Macaca mulatta: one gene and its partner. The protein of the gene in region 2 purifies or fractionates together with the protein of the main gene of each other region. This does not show direct contact. Links are inferred from orthologs where the notes say so. Each region holds a gene or a part of one and is shown on either strand. Other genes may lie near its edges.

Region 1 (4,413 bases), on a different chromosome or scaffold from region 2:
CCATCACTGAAGGGAAAGTCTCTACTTAGCATGGCCAGCTCTCCATGAGCTGCAAAGTTCTGCACATCTAAATATAACCAACATCTCACACCGTGTACAAGGCTTGGCTAAATTCTTCCCAGATCTCCAACAGGCTTGTTCTTTAGTAAGATTCAGTATAATTCAACAAAATCCTGCATAGCTATTCTAAACAATACTTTGAGGGCCTACTATATGCCTGACACTATACTATTTTATTTCATTCATTTTATTTCATTAAACTGCCACAACCACTTGAGGAGACTCTGAGGCCCAAAGAAATTAAATAATTTGTGCAAGATCACATAGCCTGCATGGGGGAAGCCTGGAGTTGAACCCAAATCTGTGTGACTACTATGTCTGTACTCTTACCACTACACAATGCTAGTTTCTCTACTAAGTGTTTGCCCTGCACTTAAAAGGAGTAACACATGGTACCAGGCCTCAAAGAGGTTTCAAGCAAAATAAAGGTACAACTTCAATCCTACCACATCACACGGAAAAGCCCTCCCAAATTACATAGATCCCACTTATGTGAGAAAGTGAGATTTTTTTTAAAACTCTTTCCTAAAATCTCACTTACTCATTGAGTTTATAAATTTTTTCAGAAAAAAAGACTTCATCGAGAAGCTTGTGGATGTTGCGTCTCTCTGCTGCAAGCAAAACACCATCATTTGCTAAAATTCCCAAACAGGTGCCTGCATGTCCAATAGCTTCCATGGCATATTCAACTTGGTATAAGCGACCTACAAAACAAAAGCAGTGAGAAGCCAAGACTCTCCTCTATGCTCTTGCACCACTGACCCAAAAGAAATTAGCAAGGAAGCAAGCTAGAAACAAATTCCCACTTTTACTCTTCTATGGTATAATCAACCCGGTGACCATAATTGCTTCGAAGTACAAAAAGGATGAACTTTGCAACTACCAAAAAAAGTTTGTAATTTTTTTTTTTCTAAAAGTCTAACACATTTTTTTTTTAAACTTGAGGCAGATTAAACAATTTCTATTTTACCTTCTGGAGAAAATATAGTGGTCCTGGAGTCATATCTTCGAGACTGCAAAGGAAAAACACATGAGTGATTCCTACCCACTGAAAGTAGGCCAACTCCTGCAAGCCTACAAATCACCTTACAAAACCTATCCTGGTATACAAAGTTCAGCAGATGAGAGGAAACTGACAAGAAAAAAGGCACCATCTCACTGCTTTCCTTCTATTTCAATTTTCCCACACAAGACTGTAAGCTGAGTACAAGCAATACTATTTATCAGGCAACAGTTTACTGGCACATGTATTAACTCACCATGTTTTCTGAACTTTATATAGTTCCTGTAAAAAGAAAATCAGATCATCATTAAAATAAGATTCACAAATTAAAAAGCATTTGCTGACTTTACAAATCAGTTTTATTTACTCCCTTTATTCAGCTAAGTGTCAGGCGTTATGCTAGATGCTGGAATACCAAAATGTGTAAAACCAATTCCTGTCCTGAAAAGCTAATACTGGCAGTTAGGTGAGAGAGGCAGTCATAGATTATAATGCAGAAAAAGGAACCGGGGGTAGAATGGGAAAAGGGATGATGAAAAAAATCCAGAAAGTATTTTTTGAGAAACCGATACAGAAAATGAAAGTAAATCAGAGACGGGAGAGGCAGAAATAAGGCTGAGAACTCTTGGGTCTAAGAGAAAGAACAGGGGAAGAAAGAAGGGAAGGGCACTCCAGACAGAGCAGAAAGTATGAACAAAGGGTACTGAGGCAGGATAGCTTAGTGGGCATGAGACAAACTGCTGATGTTTTTAAAAATACATAAATAAGAGCTAAGCGAGTATCCAAATCCCGCGGAGCCTTGAATGCCAAGTTAAGACACTTAGGCCTTCTCCAGAGAGTCCTGAACTTGGGGGTGGAGGCAGTTATCTTGGGCACCATCAGTACCATTCGTGCAAAAGGCAATACTGGGTGCTCAGTGTTATTTGGTAAAGCCTCAGTCCAAAGCCCACATTCCCAAATACTGGAATACAGGGAATCAAGACTGGAAAGGTAAGCTGGAATCAAATCCTGGAGAGCCCGCGTGCCCAGGTAAAAACAGAATTTTCTCTCTCAGCCACTGGGGCTCCACGGAATGATTCCCAAGGCCCACAAGAACTGATTAGCATTTTAAATGATCCCTCTGGCTCGTGAGAGACGGAGGGCAGCGAACTGGTTGAGGTAATAGGAAGGTGCAAAGTAAGGATGGCCCAGAGCAGAGAAACAGGTAGGACACAGAGAGACTCGCCGGGGATTTCTGATTCGAGCGTAAGCACAACTTTCTGTGGTCTCCACGCCTGACGCCGGTCACAGCACGATTTTGAGTTCACCGGCACCTCCGGGAGCGCTAACTTTCACGTACCGAACTCCCGGGGACGGAAGCCGCCCCGAGTCCTCGGTCCTGCCCACAGACCCCCACCCTCAGCTCGCCCCCTCGCCGGGCCCCGGCGTCCAGGCTCGGCACGCGGAAGCCTCCAACGGCGGCCGGAGGGGGCCATTCCCGGCGGCTGGTCTGTCACCGTGGAGGCGGTGCAGAGTCATCGTGCCCACGGCTCCTCGGCGGCAACTGCAGGCCGGGACCGACTGTCTTGACGTTCACTACCCCCGCCGAAGGGAAGAGCGGCCATGCTTCCGCGGGCCCCCAGGGGCCAAAGGCTCACCAGATGGAAGACCCTGAAGACTTCAGATGTCCACTGAGCCCTTATCTCCGCGGGAAAATAAACCACCAGGGCTGCCCGAATAACCGCTGCTAATATGGCCCCCGCGCTTGCGCAGAACCGCTAAGGGAGGGGGTAGTGGGATGGCCGAGGACACGGAAGTCCTCCTTGTGGGGCGGAGCTAGAACCCGTGGCCCTCGTGGGAGCTGGGGCGCTGCAGCAGGTGGAGGAGTTGCTGCGCCATGGGGAGGAAGGCAGGAAGACCGTAGCCAACCAGAAGGTGGAATAACTAATTTCCTTCTCTTACCCTTGGCGCTCTACTTTCACTTTCTCTTCACTATTCACACCTAGGATAGCAAATAGTGTGGACCGGCTTCTTAATTGCTACCATTCCTGTCCTGTTTCCCGAAATGGTTCCAATCACATGAGACTTTACCTCTGTCATCATCTCCCTTTTTCATTCTGGCTTTCACTTTTACTGCTGATGTATACATTTTGGACATTTACATTATGATGAGGAAGGCTGGGTGGCTCACGCCTGTAATCCCAGCACCAGCACTTTGGGAGGTCGAGGAGGGTGGATCACCTGAGGTCGGGAGTTCGGGACCAGCCTGGCCAACATGGTGAAACCACGTCTCTACTAAAACTACAAAAATTACCCGGGTGTGTGGTGCACGCCTGTAATCCCAGGAAGCTGAGGCATGAGAATCGCTTGAACTCAGGAAGCGGAGGTTGCAGTGAGCCAAGAGTGCACCACTTCACTCCAGCCTGGGCAACAGAGTGAGGCTCCGTCTCAAAAAAAAAAAAAAAATTATGATGATGGTCGGGCATGGTGACTCACGCTTGTAATTCTACTGCTTTGGGAGGCTGTGGCAGGAGGATGGCTTGAGGCTAGGTGTTTGAGGCTGTAGTGAGCTGTGATCGCGCCACTGCACTCCAGCCTGGGTGACAGACAGACTCTGGCTCTAAAAATTAAAAAAAAATTATGGTCAGGTTCACACTTTTAGAAGAATTTTCACTTGGTGTTTCTCTGCTTTTCACCAGTCAGAAAGGATTACCCTGACCAGCGTAGTTAAAACAATACCCTACTGTCAGCATATACTTGCACCATTTTATCTTCTTTACTGAAATTGTCATACTTGTTTATGTGTTCATTATCCATCTCTCCACCCTTTTGCTCATTCAGCCTCAGTCCCTATGTAAACTATCTACTATTCATTTCAGGTTTTTTCAGGCTAGAAGGTTGACTAGATCTGGGTTCATATGATGTCATCTGCTCAGTCTCTCCCAAAAAGCAACCCATTGGGCAGAAACTCTGTCCTCTTCATGTTGGTTGCAAAATAATTGGGGGATGTGGGCTTTGAAAAGGAGATGGCTTGGAAGTTGCATTTTGGGGTCTCACCTATCATCTCTGCTTTCCAAGCACACAGGGAAGTGAGCCAAGGCAAGATGGCAAAGAGTCACACACAGGTGGTGCTCTGAAAGCATCCTCAGGTGGTGTAACGTATGGCATCTCTGAGGGCCCCTGCCTGCCACCTTAGTTCATTCTGCAGAATTCAGTGAACAGTAACTTTTAAGTCAGAGGTAGAATTTCTCAGGTCAAAAGAAGAAGGATTAGTTGAGAAAAAGGACAAAAGAAGAATGAGTCTGACAAGTGTGGGTGACTGAGTAGTTCCTTCTGATCTGAATGGAGATAATACAGGAAGTAAAGAAGGA
Region 2 (4,333 bases):
TACAAGGAATAGGAAAAAAGAACCTATCAAAGCAGGGAAGATAATTAAGGGAATACGTACAAATCTTCTGGTTCCACAAAGGAACACATTATTCAGTCAACAACCATGCATTCAGCAATTGCTATGGACCAGGATCAACACTAGGTGCTGGGAATACAAAGATTAAGATAGTTCCTGCCGACCGACTACGGTGGCTCACGCCTGTAATCCCAGCACTTTGGGAGGCTGAGGCGGGTGGATCACCTGAGGTCAGGAGTTCGAGATCAGTCTGGACAACATGGTGAAACCCTGTCTCCACTAAAAATTTAAAAATTGGCTGGGCTTGGTGGCGCGCATCTGTAATCTCAGCTACATGGAGGCTGAGGTGGGAGAATCACTTGAAACCGGGAGGGGGAGGTTGCAGGAAGCTGAGATCGCGCAACTGCACCCCAGCCTAGGAAACAGAGTGAGACTGTCTCAAAAAAAAAAAAAAAAAAAAAAAGGTAGTTCTTGCCTTCCAGACGTACAAGTTCTGTCAATGAGGCGGTACTACAGACAACAATTCAGTATCATCAGTGTTATAGTAGCATGCGGACACATGACTGATAAGGACTAGCTGTTAAAGATGTACAGCAAAACAGCGATTGCAGTTACACAGCAAGAACTTCATATCCCATAACACTTATCAAGACACAGAAACAAAGTTAAGTCTTGTTCAGAACCATGGGAAAAACCAGGTAACCTGATGAAGCTAGTTCTCTCCTTTTTTTTTTTTTTTTTTGAGACAGAGTCTCGCTCTGTTGCCCAGGCTGGAGTGCAGTGTCATTATCTCGGCTCACTATAAGCTCCGCCTCCTGGGTTCATGCCACTCTCCTGCCTCAGCCTCCCGAGTAGCTGGGACTACAGGCGCCCACAACCACGCCCAGCTAATTTTTTGTATTTTTAGTAGAGATGGGGTTTCACCATGTTAGCAAGGATGGTCTCCATCTCCTGACCTCGTGATCCAACCACCTGAGTCTCCCAAAGTGCTGGGATTACAGGTGTGAGCCACCGCGCCTGGCCAAAGCTAGTTCTCTTTTATTTGAAACTCACTCTAACACTGAGAGTAGCATTAGCACATTCACTTCACATCGTAAATGAAACTCAGGGTCTAAAAGGAATATACCGGAGGCCTCGTGCAGTGACTCACGCCTGTAATCCCAGCATTTTGGGAGGCTGAGGCGGGTGGATTACTTGAGCTCAGTGGTTTGAGACCAGCCTCGGCAACATGGTGAAACCCTGTCTCTACAAAAAATACAAAAATCAGCTGGGCATGGTGGCACACTCCTGTAGTATCAGCTACTTGGCGGGCTGAGGAGGGAGGGTCACTTAAGTTTGGGAGGTCCAGGCTGCAGTGAGCAGTGCTCACGCCACTACACTCCAGCTTGGGCAAAAAAAAGTGACGCCCTTTCTCAAAAATAAATAAATAAATAAGAAATAAAACAACTATACTAGAGTCATCATGTCTGTAACAGTCCTAGTTCCCAGATCCAAATCCCACTGTTGCCTCTGTACATCTTAAACTGACAAGGAAACAGAGGACAGAGGACCTACTGCTCAAGAACACAAAGATAAATATAGGACACTTACACCATCCAGTCCATCATGGCTATTGGTGAGAAGAATGGGGTCAGGGACTGGGAGATTCATGTCAGAGTGGATCTGAGTTAGGTCATGGATGTTTAAAATTGGTTCCTGAAAGACACCCACCCCAAAACATTAATCTTTTCAAGCTGAACAAAGAAGTATTTGATTGAAGAGCAAGAAATGAAAGCGCTTTTACAGTTTAAAAAAATAAAAAGAAGAATCAACACACAATTAGTTCCAGTTGACAGTAATACCAGGGCCAAAAAAATAGGGGAATTTGAGGAAAGAAAAGGGTCTCTCACCTTCAGAAAACTATCAAGTTCTAACAACTTCTTTGGGAAAAAATTTGCCACCAAGTCTTCTGCCTAAGGAGGAGGGAAAATATAGCTGAATTAATATCTGTGGGAAGGTCTCTCTCTCTCTCTCTACAGATATCTCCTCTTTGGGAAACTCTCAACCAACACTCATTTTTCTATTTATTTCACTCACCTCACTTGTGATGCGTTCCCTGAAAGAATCAACCTAAAATTAACAAAGAGAGCAATTCAGTACCTGGAGACAGAGGTAAGAGCAGGATAGAGAATCCCAAATCCAACTGTCTTTCCCTCACCTTGTAACTGTAATAAGAAGCTGAGAGGCCCCCAGACTGCAAATACTTTATTTTTTTGAGGATCCATTTTTCCATCTCAGGAGAAGAAAGCAGGGCTTTGAGGGCAGCACCTGCCTGTCTCCTCTCTCCTCTCCCCTCCCTCCCTCCTGTGTCTGAAGCTGTCTGAATTTGATAAGCAGACAAAAGACAGGTAGTTAGGAAAGATGTGAGCTCACAAACGTGCCAACCCCCACCCAGACCTGGCCTATGATACCAGGCAGGCCAGCCACCAAGGGCAGAGGCAGTGTCCAGGGACGTTGTTGGGCTGGGGGATTTCCAGCTGTCACTGGCCTAAAGCCCTGAGTCCAACACGTGTCCGCGGAGGTGTCCCCGGGACTCTCCATCATCAGACGCGGTACAGAAAGCCATCCTATATTTTCCTCTCCCGCGAAGCCGACCCCGGGAGTTGGGGGCTGGGCTGAGTTGAGCGGAAGCTCAGAGCTGGTATCCCCAGGGAGACAAAGACGACATGGGGAGTAGGAAGCCAGTCAGACTGCTGGGGGATCAAAGCGAGGGGCAAAAAGGCCGGACCGGTGCCGCTACCTTGAGCTTCACTTCCTGATCCACCTTCAGCAACGAGGCCATGGCCGGGCCGGGCCGTGTCCGATCCGCTGGACACCGGAGGCGCTGTGGACTCCAGGGAGGGGGCCGGAGGGACCTGAGAAATCTCGGCTGACCTCGGGACCCGGCCGCCCTCGCTGGCTCACTCACTGCTCGCTTGCTCCCTCCCTCCGTGCCGTCCGCCCGCCCGCCGGCAGCCTGCTGCCTGGTCGCTCTCTCGCTCGCCCTCCCGGCTTTCGCCGCTCACGCCGGAAACTGCGTCACAGCCAATCGCCGAGACTCCTGCGAGGCTGTGCACGTGCGCTGCGCAGCCGCGATGAGACTCGGGTTTGGATGCTCCCCGGGGTAAAGTGTTGGGTAGGGGTGAAGTAAAAAGGAGAGCTGTGGGGAATGGTGCGCTGAGAACTGAGCCTCCGAAAGACTCGGAAACGGTGCGACCCTCTCTGTTGGCCCGGAACTCGCCTTCACCGAAGGGACCTCAGTCGCTGCAGTCCCGGGGACAGCGCCGTCGCGCCCCAGTGACGTAGGCTCGGGGAAGTCGGGGACCCGGGTACTGGGTTCGGGGGTGTAGTCCCTGATTCCCGCTGCCTCTGCCCGTTTGCCGAGGCTCAAGTGTTTAGGCTAGAGCGAAAAACACAAGTGCGGTTGTACCAAGCTTTCCTGGTACATTTCCCTGCCAACTGACTGTCGTAAGCTTCCGGACCTCAAAGATCAACTACCTAATGGGCAAATTGATGCCCAGAGTAGGGCAAGACTTGTCCAAGGCGTTTCCAGTACATCCTGAGCCAGGACCCAGATCTCCTAACTTCTATGGCAGTGCTGTATCTATTTGCCTAATGGAAGCTTAAGACTATACCTCTTCATACACCCATTCATTCGATCTCTCTCTCGACATTGGATATTTCATTCAATAAAATGGGCCAGGGCACTGTCTCAGATTCTAGAAATATGTGAGTTACATATGTAGGTTGAAATCTTCTATTAGCCACAATTAAAAAGTAAAATAAGTGAAAATTTTAGTCATATATTTAACCCAATTTATCCAAGTCCTTCAACATGTAATCAACATTAAAAAATCGAGATCTTATGCATTCTTTTCTCATACCAAGTCTTCAAAATCCAGTGCATATTTTACACTTAACTGCACATCTCAATAAGAAAATAACACATTTACAGTACAGTGCTCAGTAGCCACATGTGGCTGCTGGCTTCTGTATTGAACAGCACAGCTCTGGGAAATCAAAGGCAAACAAGATTCAAGGTTGCTGGTCTCATGGGGCATAATATTGGAAAAACACCAGAAAGTAAACTGACAAAGTAACTGCAAAATTTGATAAATATTAGGAAACAAGTGTATGACATAGAAAATACCAGAGATCTATTTTAGATCGAATGGCCAAGGAAGGCCTCTGAACAAGAGACAAGCTGCGATCTAAAGGACATAAAGGGGTTAGCATGGAAAGAGTGAGAAGAGCCTTGAGACGTATAAGTGCAGCAAATGCTCTAGGGAAGGAAAGA

The links.
Region 1: the proteins of PSME3 (region 2) and PSMA4 fractionate together in Homo sapiens (co-fractionation; 3 studies listed by BioGRID, with this or other methods). This does not show direct contact. The link is inferred for Macaca mulatta from reciprocal best matches to the Homo sapiens genes PSME3 and PSMA4.

The regions. Positions count from the first base shown.
Region 1 is NC_133412.1:56,687,027-56,691,439, reverse strand, and holds the start of PSMA4 (proteasome subunit alpha type-4), read right to left. Parts: upstream 2,827-4,413; 5' UTR 2,701-2,826; intron 1,346-2,700; 5' UTR 1,323-1,345; coding exon 1,320-1,322; intron 1,074-1,319; coding exon 1,031-1,073; intron 765-1,030; coding exon 602-764; intron 1-601. UniProt on the Homo sapiens protein: Component of the 20S core proteasome complex involved in the proteolytic degradation of most intracellular proteins. This complex plays numerous essential roles within the cell by associating with different regulatory particles.
Region 2 is NC_133421.1:67,183,406-67,187,738, reverse strand, and holds the start of PSME3 (proteasome activator complex subunit 3), read right to left. Parts: upstream 3,075-4,333; 5' UTR 2,840-3,074; coding exon 2,798-2,839; exon of another isoform or gene 2,291-2,797; coding exon of another isoform or gene 2,216-2,290; intron 2,128-2,215; coding exon 2,095-2,127; intron 2,005-2,094; exon of another isoform or gene 1,971-2,004; coding exon 1,908-1,970; intron 1,714-1,907; coding exon 1,609-1,713; intron 1-1,608. UniProt on the Homo sapiens protein: Subunit of the 11S REG-gamma (also called PA28-gamma) proteasome regulator, a doughnut-shaped homoheptamer which associates with the proteasome. 11S REG-gamma activates the trypsin-like catalytic subunit of the proteasome but inhibits the chymotrypsin-like and postglutamyl-preferring (PGPH) subunits.